Linked DNA regions of Mytilus edulis. The protein of the gene in region 2 binds, or shares a complex with, the protein of the main gene of each other region. Links are inferred from orthologs where the notes say so. Each region holds a gene or a part of one and is shown on either strand. Other genes may lie near its edges. The genes, in order: protein inturned-like and WD repeat-containing and planar cell polarity effector protein fritz homolog.

What was found.
Region 1: the proteins of WD repeat-containing and planar cell polarity effector protein fritz homolog (region 2) and protein inturned-like are in contact, whole or in part, in a cryo-EM structure (PDB 7Q3E), measured with the Mus musculus proteins. The link is inferred for Mytilus edulis from reciprocal best matches to the Homo sapiens genes WDPCP and INTU. Residues at the interface, in NP_663400.2 of Mus musculus: Phe3, Cys4, Leu5, Ile24, Leu51, Ser54, Arg55, Asp56, Lys93, Leu385, Ala386, Glu387, Asp388, Tyr389, Ile427, Lys446, Leu447, Gly448, Ile449, Leu450, Thr451, Arg452, Gly453, Leu455, Leu462, Gln463, Ile465, His466, Tyr467, Gln487; in NP_780724.3 of Mus musculus: Val481, Gln484, Val488, Asp491, Ser495, Asp496, Glu498, Ala499, Ala500, Asp501, Ser506, Glu507, Asp508, Arg513, Arg514, Thr517, Ser532, His533, Leu534, Pro535, His574, Tyr593, Glu610, Gly613, Cys614, Ala615, Ser616, Lys617, Ser653, Pro654.

What each region holds. Positions count from the first base shown.
Region 1 is NC_092351.1:28,384,688-28,392,619, forward strand, and holds the start of protein inturned-like, read right to left. Parts: upstream 3,177-7,932; 5' UTR 3,089-3,176; coding exon 2,907-3,088; intron 1-2,906. UniProt on the Homo sapiens protein: Plays a key role in ciliogenesis and embryonic development.
Region 2 is NC_092346.1:82,336,249-82,343,367, forward strand, and holds the start of WD repeat-containing and planar cell polarity effector protein fritz homolog, read left to right. Parts: upstream 1-3,954; 5' UTR 3,955-4,053; exon of another isoform or gene 4,054-4,173; intron 4,174-7,119. UniProt on the Homo sapiens protein: Probable effector of the planar cell polarity signaling pathway which regulates the septin cytoskeleton in both ciliogenesis and collective cell movements.

The DNA.
Region 1 (7,932 bases), on a different chromosome or scaffold from region 2:
TTTGAGTTGTATATTTCAATGCTCCAGATTGGGCAGAAGGGAGGATAAGTGGGAGAATAGTCGAATTTTGTCTTTATACATGTCCCATGCCCATGGCACTGATACACTTTCAACAAAATGCATATTGCAGCAAAAAAACTTCTAACTGGTTTTCATTCTTTCAAGATTTTAGGTAAAACACCATATAGAATATGATTTCCTGCAAATTTGTATCTGATTACACCAGACGGGTCAAAAAAGGATCTGAACATTTTTATATATATCTAACTGTTAAAGAGTACCTTATGGTGTGTAGTGACATTAATATAAACAGTTACATCCGCTGATAATTGATACTGTGACAGTTTCTATGTATCTATCATTTCCACCACACACAGGTTCATTATCTGCACATGGTTTAATAAATTATTAACATCTATTTTATCAGCAATCAAAGACGGGCTTCAAAGTTATTGTGAAACTGCCTATTCTAGAGGTGGCCTGAATCAGATGTGGATACTTAAAAATTCAAAAGATCTTTTAGAGTACATACAATCTAACTCTCTTTCATCTTGTAACAGTATTAAAACATTTGACTTTTCTACCCTGTACACAAGTATTCCACATTCCAAACTAAAAGACAAATTGAAAGAGTTGATATTACTTTGCTTCATAAAAAAGAATGGCCAACGTAGATACAAGTATCTTGTCTTAGGGAGGGATAAATCCTACTTTGTAAAGAATCACTCTGATTCAAACAAAAAATTCTCTGAAACTGATATTATCAAGATGCTTGATTTCTTGATTGACAACATATTTTTTACGTTCGGAGGACGTGTTTTTCAACAGACTGTCGGCATTCCAATGGGAACAAACTGTGCCCCTCTACTCGCCGACTTGTTTCTTTATTATTATGAGGCTGACTTCATGCAGGAACTTCTTAGGAAGAAAGATAAGAAGTTAGCAATATCCTTTAACTCTACTTTCCGTTATATAGATGATGTTCTTTCACTAAACAATTCAAAATTTAGTGACTATGTGGAACGCATCTATCCAATCGAACTAGAGATAAAGGATACTACAGATACAGTTAAGTCGGCTTCATATCTTGACTTACATCTAGAAATTGACAATGAGGGTCGGTTGAAAACAAAACTTTACGACAAAAGAGATGATTTCAGCTTTCCAATTGTGAACTTTCCATTTCTAAATAGCAACATTCCAGCAGCACCTGCATACGGGGTATATATCTCCCAATTGATACGATATTCCCGTGCTTGCATTTCCTATCATGATTTTCTTGATAGAGGTTTGCTGCTCACAAGGAAGCTATTAAACCAAGAGTTCCAAATGGTGAAGTTGAAATCATCCCTTCGTAAATTTTACGGACGCCATCACGAGTTGGTTGACCGTTATGGAATAACCGTTTCACAAATGATATCGGATATGTTCCTTACGTCGTAACTACAATCCCCTTCCCTTTCATGAATATGACCTACCGAATTAGACTATTTACCGGATTTGTAATCACTTAAGCAACACGACGGGTGCCACATGTGGAGCAGGATCTGCTTACCCTTCCGGAGCACCTGAGATCACCCCTAGTTTTTTGTGGGGTTCGTGTTGTTTATTCTTTAGTTTTCTATGTTGTGTCGTGTGTACTATTGTTTTTCTGTTTGTCTTTTTTATTTTTAGCCATGGCGTTGTCAGTTTGTTTTAGATTTATGAGTTTGACTGTCCCTTTGGTATCTTTCGTCCCTCTTTTAATAAGGCTTTTATTAGGATTATAATCATTCTGTAACTGTAGTTCGATCGTTTGAGTTGTATAATAAATATTAGTATTTACTTGGATTCTACTTTATATATATGTAGCATAAGATGCCACATGGTGATTAGCTGGACAATGCTGATACAATGTTTTGACTATGAGGATATTCTTGCATTTTCCAGTACATGTATTTTGTTTATTCCCAATGTTAATACAAAGCTAGTATAAATCAAATTAGAAGCCTATGAACAGTAGAAGGATCGATTTGGGTCATACCACCACTAACATAATTATACATAGAGGCCTTCAAAAACATGGGGTTAATAAATCCCTTATTTCCCCCTATGCAACAAATTTTCTTCTTTTCTTCAAATTTGTATATGAGGCATATAGGATTACTCAAATATTTGTATATTTTCTTATTGCTGAAAAGAATGATGATAAAACATGTATTGTTACTCATATGAATAAACCTTATTGCTAATCCTGGCTGACCGAGAATCTGTTACGCTTGAACTATTGACGTCATACATGTACATGTACAACAGTCACTTTTCCATTGTGGCGTCATATATTTAGTATGACATGCATGACGTCAAAATTTTACCGGAACCTGTGTGATGTCCAGTAATGGGGGACAAATAGCGTCTGCCGCGATAAGGTCTATTCTGAATGCATGTAATGAGTTACATTTGTACCTATACTGGTTGGTCGATACATTCATGAACAAATAGGTTAGGTAGTCCAAATATTTAAAACATCTTGAAAGGCTATTTTATGTTTTGCTTTGACAAGTCGACGTCAATACAGCTTATCGCTATTTGTCCGCCATTACTGGATATCACACAGGTTCCAGTAAAATTTTGACGTCATAAAACAAAATATCTGACGCCACAATGGAAAAGGGATTGTTGTATGCGTCAAAAGTTCAAGCAGCCGGGTGAGCTGGCCGATAAGGCTAATAGCAATAAGGTGTATGTAAAGGCCTCAAAGCAAAACTAAAATAGCCTTTCAGTTTCAAGAGTGATAATTATTTGGACTAGTCTTCACATGCTTCAGGAAGACACGAGTACATGACCTAGAACCTGCCAGATAATCTATGATTTAAAATGTATTTATTCATAAAAATCATTTTTTCTTTAACATTGTTTACACTTACGACGATTTAACGACTGAAAATTCATTGTTGTGAAGTTGTGTCCGATCTCGATTTCTAGCTTCAATTTTCCCAACGTGAAATGCGTTTCCTTGGTTTGGACTTTCAGTTTTCCCTGGATTAGAATTTACCCTATTGTCATTTTTAGGATTATAAAAGGGTGTTTTATTGTGATAATGTGCCATGTTATTATATTTTTGTGTTTTCAACTTCAAAATTTAGGTTGACAAAATTTTTGTCCTCCATTTTGTTTACATCCGGGGCTTTGAAGTTAAGGTTAAATAATTTAACTCAAACACAAAAGACTTCCCATTAGGGTCCCATAAGGGAAATCCTCATCCCATTTAAACTAACAAACACAACTTCTACACATCTTACACAATTCGTTTTATAATCTATTGTACTTTTATTTTTATATATAGTTGACATATACACACATATAACTGACTTGCAACTGATATTAGACAAATCTCTTGTTCAAAAGAGGGTCTTGATTGGGAACTCATTTAGGCAAATACAAACATCCAAAGACAGTTATAAATATTCATTTTATCCACGAACTGTTATAAATTGGAATCATCTGCCACAACAAATAGTATCATGCAGTACAGTACAGTACAGGGATTCAAGAGTATGATCTCAGAATCTGCTCTCATCCCCATATTCTATCCCTAACTATTGAATTCTGTTAATCAAATGTATATAGTTTTATCACAATTCATTTTTTTCAAATGTAAATACGTTATGTTGATTTTTTGATTTTATGATTTTGTTATTTTTGATTTTTGTTGCTAAAGTGTAAATTATAAATTTTATAGTCGACGCCCGGCGAATAATCTTCAATAATTGAAGGATCGCTAGAAACCTAAAGAAGAAGAAGAAGAATTCATTTCTGCATTCTTATTTTTCTCTCTAAAAAGTAAAAATCACAAAAATACAAAACTTCGAGGACCGAAAATTCAAAAAGAAAAGTCTGTAATCAAATGGCAAAATTAAAAACTATGTGATAAAAACGATTAAAAAAACCCCAACATAGATGATACATGCACTGGGCTTAAAATTTTCAAAGCATGATTGAGTTTAATTAATGTTTGAACTGCAAGCCAGCCTTAATCAGACTCCGTCCAGTTCGTTGAACATTGAGTACCCGATATAGAGCTTAACTAAACTTTCCTTAGCCATAACATCACCTTAACTAATACATCACCCTAAGACAAGACCTAATCTTGATTAATAACCCTAATGCAGTGGCGGATCCAGGGGGGGGGGGGTTCCGGGGGTGCTCACCCCCCTTTATTTTTGCCGATCAATGCATTTGTATCGGGACATATGTTTTGCACCCCCTTGCACCCCCCCTTTGCCCTGGGTTAGCACCCCCCCCCCCCCCTTTCGAAAATTCCTGCATCCACCCCTGCTAATGTGACTCTAACCCTAAATGACAGAACCATATCGATCCATCATCGGAAGAAGGCTACAGCTAGGGTCCCTAAAATTTACTGGCAAATGAAGAACATTTTAAGGATTGCAGTGATTCTAATATTATGTTCTTCAATCCTAGATGTGATATCAGATGTTACCTGCTGGTGTTACCTAATATGATAGTATAACGCAATGTTAGAGAAATTATGATTTTTAAAAGAAGTTTGTAACGAGGTTTGTATTGACGAACCAGTTGGTCGACAAAACCTTTTCTATTTCTTGATTAGTTGAAGAACATTGCTTGAATAATTCGGATAGGCCATGTTAACTTCAATTGGTATTTTAAAGTGTGTCTTTGTGTTCTCTTACTTACATTATTTTTGATAAATCAGTATTAAATTTTACACAAAACCTTAAAGAGATGACTTAAATTCTTGGGTGGGCGTAATTAAAAAAAAAAAATACGTTGCTATTTTTTTTATAACTACCATTTTTTTTATAAAAGTGGCTGGCATTTTTCAACACAATCAACTGATAAAAAAAGTAATCATAATTGCACCTGTACGTCCTAAGTCAGGAACCTGATATTCAGTCGTTGTCGTTTGTTGGTGTGGTTCATAAATGTTTCTCGTTTTTTATTTTACAAATTTTGACTTGGAAAGAGAGCTGTATCATTGGCACTCATACCACATCTTTTTTTTTATATTATTCTATTGTGTGCAACGATTAATGATTCTTTTCAAGACACATGGTACCTTAATTTGATAACTATTTACACCACTGGGTCGATGCCACTGCTGGTGGACGTTTAACAACTATATGGTGATTTTATAAATTTCCTGATAAAAAAACTTTTTTCTTTTTACTAAGGATTTTCTTATCCCAGGAATAGATTACCTTAGCCGTATTTGGCACAACTCTTTTGGAATTTTGGGTCCTCAATGCTCTTCCACTTTGTACTTGTTTGGCTTTATTACTATTTTGTTCTGTCGAGTGTCACTGATGAGTCTTATGTAGACTAAACGCGCGTCTGGCGTATTAAATCATAATCCTGGTACATTTGATAACTATATATAGCAGTGCACATTTTTTTATCTGCAAGAACAACCCTTTCTGCATTGTACTTCACATATTTTAAATATGAAAGATGAACATTCCAACGATGTTGGATATTTGATTTATCCCCCTTTATCCAGGTCAATACCGAAAATCTACACGCATATAATTTGTGGCAATATAGCCACAGCACTTGTGTCAGATTTTTTTATTAAGGTATATAGGAAATATCTTTTTTCTGAGACAAGTGCCAGTGAATATAGTCTGTTACATCTTACCATTTAGAATGACGAAAATAGCAATACAAGACAACATAGACGACAATAATGATTCTGAATTAATGCTGAGGCTTTAAGTTTATTTTGAATTAACCATTAAAACCAACATTTTTTTTCTTCTACAATTCGTGAATATTTGTGCCCAAACAAGTGTCACTTCTGCAATAGAAGAAATATTAATTAAAACTCGGTTTCACAAATCTGCATCCGCATCTATTAAAATTTATTTTGTAAACATAACTTTTTTCTTGTTTTGAAGCGTACTACCGGGATCGTCAAACTCAACATAACATTAAAACAATTTGATCTAGAATAGATGGTGTGTTTATTTAATACAGTAAAATTACAAAAAAAAAAAGACTCTTTAAGCTTATATCTTCTGACTCTTTTTATTTGTTGAACAATATCACAAGTGTTTTCATTCTTTTAAAATCACAATTTAATCTCTTAAACAGGTCCAATCACAATGACAGGCGGTAGGTTAATATTTTATAAAGAAGATGAAGAAGGTTAAGAATAAAAGCAGATTATTTTTAACTACCGCTGACGTAAGTACTTGATACTAAGAATGCCACTCGAAGTCATACTTTATTTTATTTAGCTTTGACTTAGTCTTGTTTGTTATAATTTCAACAATATCGCATGAAATTTAGCATTGAACTAGATGTTTTATTTGTTTAATTTCTTGATTGAAAACAATAGTCCAAAGTTAACTATTTCACAGAACAAAATACAAATAACTTTCGTATCTTCTCTAAGTGAAGATATAATATTGACTTATGCTACATCAAATACAACACAATAATGTTATTTGTTGTTCAAAATACTCTTTACTTTCAATGAGTATTTGAAAAAAAAATCGTACAATAAGGTGTGAATCAAGAAGCGAGAAGTCAAAATTAATATACAAATAACAAATAATTTATTGCATTTGGGGTAAAGGAGTATGTATCTTTACATATCATATCTGTAGAGTGACCGTGAAACTTTAATATTTTTTTCTAAACATTTTCAATATTATAAAGAATTGTAGTATCATCTTACGCATACTGTAAAAGCAGAGACAAGAGAAGTGATGCAAACACCACCAAAAAAAGAACAAAAAATAAAAGAAAATTAAGAAACAATAGAGAAGACAGAACCGCGAACAAATGAAAATAGAAACAGATTAATGTTGAACATAAACAAAAACGTTGCCGATTAAAAAATATTTTGCTAGTGCTTTTTTGTTTTTGTTTTGGAAGTTCAAAAGGTCAATGGTAATACTCATGACAATGCTAATGAAAACGAACAATATATTCAAACCAAACACTGTAAATCAACTGATAATCTTTGTTTTAACGACCATATTTTAGTATCAACAAGACTTCACCTTAAAATCACAGTCAATACCGAAGTAGATGAATGATAAGTAAACCAAATGTTCGACCAATGTAGCCAAATAATGGTGACCAAATCATATGACCAAATGTAACCGTTTATCATTTTCAAGGCAGCCATGATCAACGTAATTCAATTAGTTTATTGAATAAATGCACATTTTTACCCAAATGGGATTGGAGACATACATAAATCAACATAATAATTTTACAATACCTGTACGAAAGAATACTTCTTATTCCATCAAAATCCTCCAAATTATCCCGTCTCCGACATTTTGACATAGGAGTTTTTAATCCGAACATACTTTTTCTGAATGGACTGTTATTGGGTGCCATTTAGTCAATTACGTTTTTGTAAATTCAAATCTGTCATCAATTCTTTTGTTAACTGCCTTTTACTTTAAAGTTCCAAAATACTATCTGTAAAAACAAATAAAGTTGTGTGAATAGTAATATTGAACATGTAAGAGTTAAAACCCAATAAAGGTTTTGTTATAGGGTGGAAAATATGTCGTAGTCAGTCGAAAGTGATCTGTCTTTTCAATGACAGAATGTCACGCAATTCGAAACGAACAAAACGTTGGTCTGTACAAATCAATTCCTTTTCTGAAGATCGAGAAATCTTTATATATATGTATTTACACAATAAACAAAAAGTATTGATACTTTGTAAATGATATTTATCTAATTTGTTTTTATCAACTTTTACAATAATATGCAATAACATATACACTATTTAGAATTCGATATCAGTTATCCGTAAAACTATGTTTTAGTCAAATTCCCTTAAAATATATTTAAATATTCACTTTATAAGCGAAATATTGCGTATGGTGTCGTGTTATATTTTACTATTTGAAACATTTTTGATGGATTTTGAATTGTTGTTTGAAT
Region 2 (7,119 bases):
AACATATATGTTTAATCTATAAAATGAAATCAAACAGACCTATAACAATCTAATTGCGCGTGTTGGTTTAATCTATTCATATCTTTATTATGTTTACATCGCTTATATGGTAATTTGAGGTCAAGTCGATAGTTAATTAGATGGCGTGTGGACTAAAATTCACACGAAACGAACCTACATATTCTCTACCCCATGCTCTGTAAACTGTTTCTTTTGGACTTTTGGTAGTTTGGATAAATTTTTTACATTGTTATAAATCAAATATGAGAATTTGAGACAAATCTGTGACCATGAATTTGACAGCTAGTGCCCCTTTAAGAAAGAATTTAAACAGGACTGTTTTCTTGGCCGTGCCATAATGAAATAACCAACCCAACCGCAGGTAGGGCACTTTCGCCTACTTCGTGGGAAAGTGAGGTAATGTTTTTTTGGAACTTATCAAAGCAATTGTTTATAAAATCCACAACTACCATGTCACATTGTTTTACTTGAACTGCTAAAAACCTATGATATTTTTTCACCAAACGCAGTACCCCGAATTTATAGAACTTATAAATAAACCGTAGGTCAGTTTATTAGTAATCACGTTGATTCTGTTAAACTTACTGTTTTATATACTTCTTTGAATGTTAAAACAGATGCATTGAGCTGAGGACAACCCATGCTTTGCAAATTTTAGGCGGGGCGCACGCCCCCGCCTAAAGCCGCCCCTGATTAACGAACTATAAACTGATTAAATATAAAATTTAGATATGAATAGCATTAGCAGAGACATATAATACAATTGTATTATACAAATACAAATACAAATACAAATATTTTATTGGCACAAACACAATTACAATAATTGGCAATGGCCCATACAACTGGTATACAAATAGTAATAATGCATAGAATAGCAATAGGCATATTTAGAACAATATCATCGAACGATATCAATATCATCAACAGTAAATGATTAAAAAAAAAATATATCAATTACATAGTTGGTCAAACATATTAAGTATTGAAAATAATGACAATATTAATATGTAATATTATGAACAATGATTATTAGCAATTTTATAGAGTTTGTTCTGCTTTACGCAGGTTCAAACTGTCTGAGATGAAAGAGGAAGTTAATTTTAGGATTGTGTATGAATTATTATTTAATAAAAAGATTATATTATTTTCATGTTTTTGAAATTTTGTAGGATCAACGATTATATTTGAAACTTTATGGTAAAATATGTCCCTCTTAGTTGAGTATTTTTCACAATGTAAAAGAAAATGTTTTTCATTTTCAATTTGACCAGAATTACATACAGAGCAGTATCTCTCATTTCTGGGAATATTTAGATGTCTCCCTCTTTCAATCATCAGTGTATGAGCGCTTATACGGATCTTACATATTGCAGCTCTGTCACTTCTGTTTTTTAATATATCAACATAGGGTGGTCTTCTGCCCATTATGTAGACACTTTTGAAAAAGTCAAACTTTTTGGATTCAAATATATTTGCATTTTGAACTTGCAAACATTGGTCATTAATTCTTTGTTTAATAGAATTTAAATTACCTTTAACATAATTAAAGTTATTGATGATATAAGACATTCCAAGTTCATTCAAAAGACTCTTGACCTTTATGACCCAAGGGTTTGAATTACAGATTTAGTGAATATATCATATGCCAAAGAATTTTCCGAAGAAACTATATGGTTCAGGTAGTTAAATATTGAATATAATATTTTATTTTTCAAGGGAATTCTATTAAGTTCAGCTCGACATCCATCATTAGATGCCTTACAGTGAACCCCTAATATGTCTTTGATAAATTTAACATGAAGTTTTTCAAATGGATCAGAGTCTTTAAAATGTGAATCCACCCCCCAAATTTCACTACAATATGTAAGAATGGGAGTAACTAAACAATCAAACAATTTTTCAAGAAGTCTACATGGGTTGTTGAGACCTATAGTTTTCTTTATTTTATAGTATGCCTTCCTGGCTTTTTCCATTAGAGTATTCACAGCAAGGCAAAAATTGCCATTATACTTTAAAACAATACCCAAGTAACAATAATTTGTTACTGTTTCAAGATATGCATTATCATAAGTAAAATGGTTTAACAATGTCTTGCCATTAGAATTAAATATCATAATTTTTGATTTATCAGTATTAACTTGTAGTTTCCATGTTGAACAATATTCATGTAAAATATCAAGAGATTTTTGTAGACCCTCTTTGCTTTCAGATAGTAAAACAATATCATCTGCATATAAAAGAATGTTCAAAGAGGTATCCCCAATAGCAACTGGATCCGTATGTTTGTCATCAAGATTACCTACTAGATCATTTATAAAATAGTTAAAAAGAAGTGGACTCAATACGTCACCTTGTTTAACACCCCTTTCTGATAGGAATGGAGGACTCAACCTATTAGAGAATTTTATTCTACTTACTGTATCAGTATACATTGAATAAATAACATTAAAATTTTTTTGGGGGATATTATGTTTTATGAGTTTAGAAAATAAACCTAGTCGCCATACAGTATCAAATGCCTTTTTTAAGTCTATGAAGGCAGCAAAAACTTTTTTCTTTTTTTGTCTATATTGATCAGTTATGGTCTTAAGAGTGAATATGTGGTCAGCTGTACGACTTTTCTCTTTAAAACCTATTTGATTTTTACTTATTAAATTTTTGATATCCATAAATTTTACTAAACGTTTATATAAAACTTTATTAAAAAGTTTACCTAGGTTGGAACTAATAGATATACCTCTATAGTTCCCTGGATCAAATTTGTCCCCTTTCTTATGCAAGAGAACAAGTAAGCTCTCATTCCATATTCTCGGAAATTGACCAGATTCGAATATGCTATTAAAGAGTTTATGAAGTGGTTTTATTAAGATGGGGATTGCATTTTTCAACATTTCATTTGAAATCATGTCGGCTGATGTGCTTTTGCCATTTTTAATTAAACGAATAGCTGTTACTATCTCTTCAATTGTTATCTCTGAACTCAAGTGAGTTAAGTCATCTGTAACATGTGATAAATTAAACTTTTCTTTTAGAGAGTCAAAATCTTTAATAATTTTAGAGTGAAAACTATTGTGATTTATGTCACAGTTATTCAATTTTTTATAAAACTGGATGAAATCTTCTTGTGGTAAAGATTCATTTTCTTTGTTATTACTTTTTTGATACTTAATTTATTCAAGATGTTCCAAAACATCTTTGGGTCTTTCTCACATGTATAAAGTTCTGAAAATATATCTTTTTTGTATTTATTTTCTTCATATTTACATAGACGTCTAAGTCTAGATCTGAAAGAATAAAATTTATGTCTGTATTCAGAATTATAGGGATGTTTATTAACTAACTTTGCATAATTTTTTACTGTAACGCCAAGTTCACGGCAAGATTCAGAGTACCAAGGTCGTCTTTTTGACCTATTTTGATTTTTATTTCTGACTGGGACTTTCTTTACTAGTTTTGCAGACTTCAAAGCATTTTCATATAGTATATTATTAAATGAATTTACTGCTGATTCAGAGTCTTTAAAAGTTGATTTTATATGTCTCTGGCATTAGTGATAACAAAATTTGAAAAATAAAAATTATTTTCCTTTTCCCGCTCATTCAATTTTGTTTTTAATCTATTTATAAAGAAAAATAATTAAATCCGATACTGTTATAGTAGTCTCAGTGATTAGGTGGTGATATATTATAAGTTATCTACGTTCATATCCGTAGATTTGCAGATGGTTCACTTTTGGAGTATTTTATGCTTAAAAACATTCTGGCAGAAATACTGATATTTTCCAAAATAAGGAAAGCCCTCTACACCCCTGAATATAAGTCCGACAAACGCTATGACTATGTGGAATGAATGACAACAAATCGGACCAATATGTTACAAACAATATAATATGTCTGTAACATTCCGATCGGTCCCGGTTTAAGTTAACTATGTTTTAGCATAATCTCAAGGTTATCTCCCTTGTAGCAAAGGAAAACAAAGTTGAAAGAATTTGAAAGAATGCAAAATTACATTTAGGTTCGACTTATGGTATAATTTTTAAAAATTAAGACAGTCGGATATAAACGGATACAGGACTTATATTTATGCTGTTCATGAACCTATGAAAAATTCATTGACTTTTTTGGATAACATTTTGTCTTTTGATTGGTGAGTCTCAGACCACAGGGGCTTGTTACAATTGCCGGGTTTACTATCCATACGAACCCCTAAAACACAGATTCGACTCTCAAATTCCTCCAAAAAAATCTGGAAGTTATAAAACTCAACGAGGGATAAATGCAAATTTAATTAGCCACATTATTTTTTCCTATGAGAACGATCAAATCCACAATTTTAGTTTTGACACTTCACATTATTGAATGTTGATATATTATTTTTATGGCCCCGCAAAGAAGTTGTCAGTGCCATATAGTTTTACCCTTGACCGTAATTCTGAAATTACGTAATTCTGTCATTACACAACAAACCATTATATACAGAGTTTTTTTCTAAACGCCTTCAGATATTGGGCTGAATTTCGATATGTAAGTTAACCATGATGAGGTACAGATCAAGTTTAAGTTTCGTTCCACTCCACTAATTTTTCAAAAAAAATTACGGGCTTTGGACTTTGATAAGTTGGTGAAAATCACAGTTATACAGAGTTTTTTTTCTAAACGCCTTCAGATATTGAGCTGATTTTTGATACAGAACTGAACAGAACAGAACATATTTTATTTCCAATTTAGGGCCCACAAGGGGCATACAGAGCATACATGAATAAGGAAAAAGAATATTGATTTGCATAGATACATAGATACAAACAATTTTTTACATACAGTTACAATACAATTACTAACTCATATTTATTAATTATCACATGGTGATATGTGAGTTAACCATGATGAGTTACAGATCAAGTGTAAGTTTTGTTCCGCTCTGCTAATTTTTCAAAAAAAATTACAGGCTTTGGACTTTGAAAAAATGTTGAAAATCACAGTTATAGAGACTTTTTTTCTTAATGCTTTCAGATATTGGGATGATTTTTGGCATGTAAGTTAACCAAGATGAGTTACAGATCAAGTTCAAGTTTTGTTTTGCTCGGCTAATTTTTGCCGAAACTACAGGCTATGGACTTTGATAAATTGTTGAAAATCACGGTTATACAAACTTTTTTTCTACATGTTCTAAATGCTTTCAGATATTTGGTACGTGAGTTATCCATGATGAGTTACAGATCAAGTTAAAGTTTCATTCCGCTATGCTAATTTTTGCTGTAAAATTTGTGGCTTTGGACTTTTATATATATTTGAAAATCACAGTTATACAGACCTTTTTAGCGGGACAAGTGAGCTTATGCCATCACTTGGTGTCCGTCGTCGTCCGTCGTCTGTCGTCGTCTGTCGTTGTAAACTATTTCAAGAATCTTCTCCTCTGAAACTACTGGGCCAAATACTTTCAAACTTTAACTGAATGTTCCTTAGGGTATCTTATTTATAAATTGTATCCGAAGTTTTGATCTATCAACAAACATGGTCGCCATTGCTAAAAATAGAACATAGGGGTCAAATGCAGTTTTTGGCTTATAACTCAAAAACCAAAGCATTTAGAGCAAATCTGACAGGGGTAATATTGTTTATCAGGTCAAGATCTATCTGCCCTGAAATTTTCAGATGAATCAGACAACCCGTTGTTGGGTTGCTGCCCCTGAATTGGTAATTTTAAGGAAATTTTGCTGTTTTTGGTTATTATCTTGAATATTATTATAGATAGAGATAAACTGTAAATAGGAATAATGTTCAGCAAAGTAAGATTTACAAATAAGTCAACATGACGGAAATGGTCAGTTGACCCCTTTAGGAGTTATTGCCCTTTATAGTCAATTTTTAACCATTTTTCGTAAATCTTAGTAATCTTTTACAAAAATCTTCTCCTCTGAAACTACTGGGCCAAATACTTCCAAACTTTAACTGAATGTTCCTTAGGGTATCTAGTTTGTAAATTGTATCCGAAGTTGTGATCTATCAACAAACATGGTCGCCATGGCTAAAAATAGAACATAGGGGTCAAATGCAGTTTTTGGCTTATAACTCAAAAACCAAAGCATTTAGAGCAAATCTGACATGGGGTAATATTGTTTATCAGGTCAAGATCTATCTGCCCTGAAATTTTCAGATGAATCAGACAACCTGTTGTTGGGTTACTGCCCCTGAATTGGTAATTTTAAAGAAATTTTGCTGTTTTTGGTTATTATCTTGAATATTATTATAGATAGAGATAAACTGTAACAGCAATAATGTTCAGCAAAGTAAGATTTACAAATAAGTCAACATGACGGAAATGGTCAGTTGACCCCTTTAGGAGTTATTGCCCTTTATAGTCAATTTTTAACCATTTTTGTAAATCTTAGTAATCTTTTACAAAAATCTTCTCCTCTGAAACTACTGGGCCAAATACTTCCAAACTTTAACTGAATGTTCCTTAGGTTATCTAGTTTGTAAATTGTATCCGAAGTTATGATCTATCAACAAACATAGTCGCCATTGCTAAAAATAGAACATAGGGGTCAAATGCAGTTTTTGGCTTATAACTCAAAAACCAAAGCATTTAGAGCAAATCTGACGTGGGTAAAATTGTTTATCAGGTCAAGATCTATCTGCCCTGAAATTTTCAGATGAATCAGACAACCTGTTGTTGGGTTGCTGCCCCTGAATTGATAATTTTAAGGAAATTTTGCTGTTTTTGTTTATTATCTTGAATATAATTATAGATAGAAATAAACTGTAAACAGCAATAATGTTCAGCAAAGTAAGATCTTCAATTAAGTCAATTTGACGGAAATTGTCAATTGACCCCTTAAGGAGTTATTGCCCTTTAAAGACTTTTTTTCACAATTTGTTCATCATGTTGACTTACTTTAAAAAATCTTCTCCTTTGAAACTGCTGTATCAATTTCAGCCAAACTAAGGCTAAATGAGTTTCAGAGTATCTAGTATAAATTTTATATTTTATTTCCTTGTATGTCAAGAAACATAGCTCCTATGGCTAAAATAGAACATAGGAGAAAATGATTATTTTTTTTGGCTTTTGAAGAAAATAGGACGATCCAAAAAA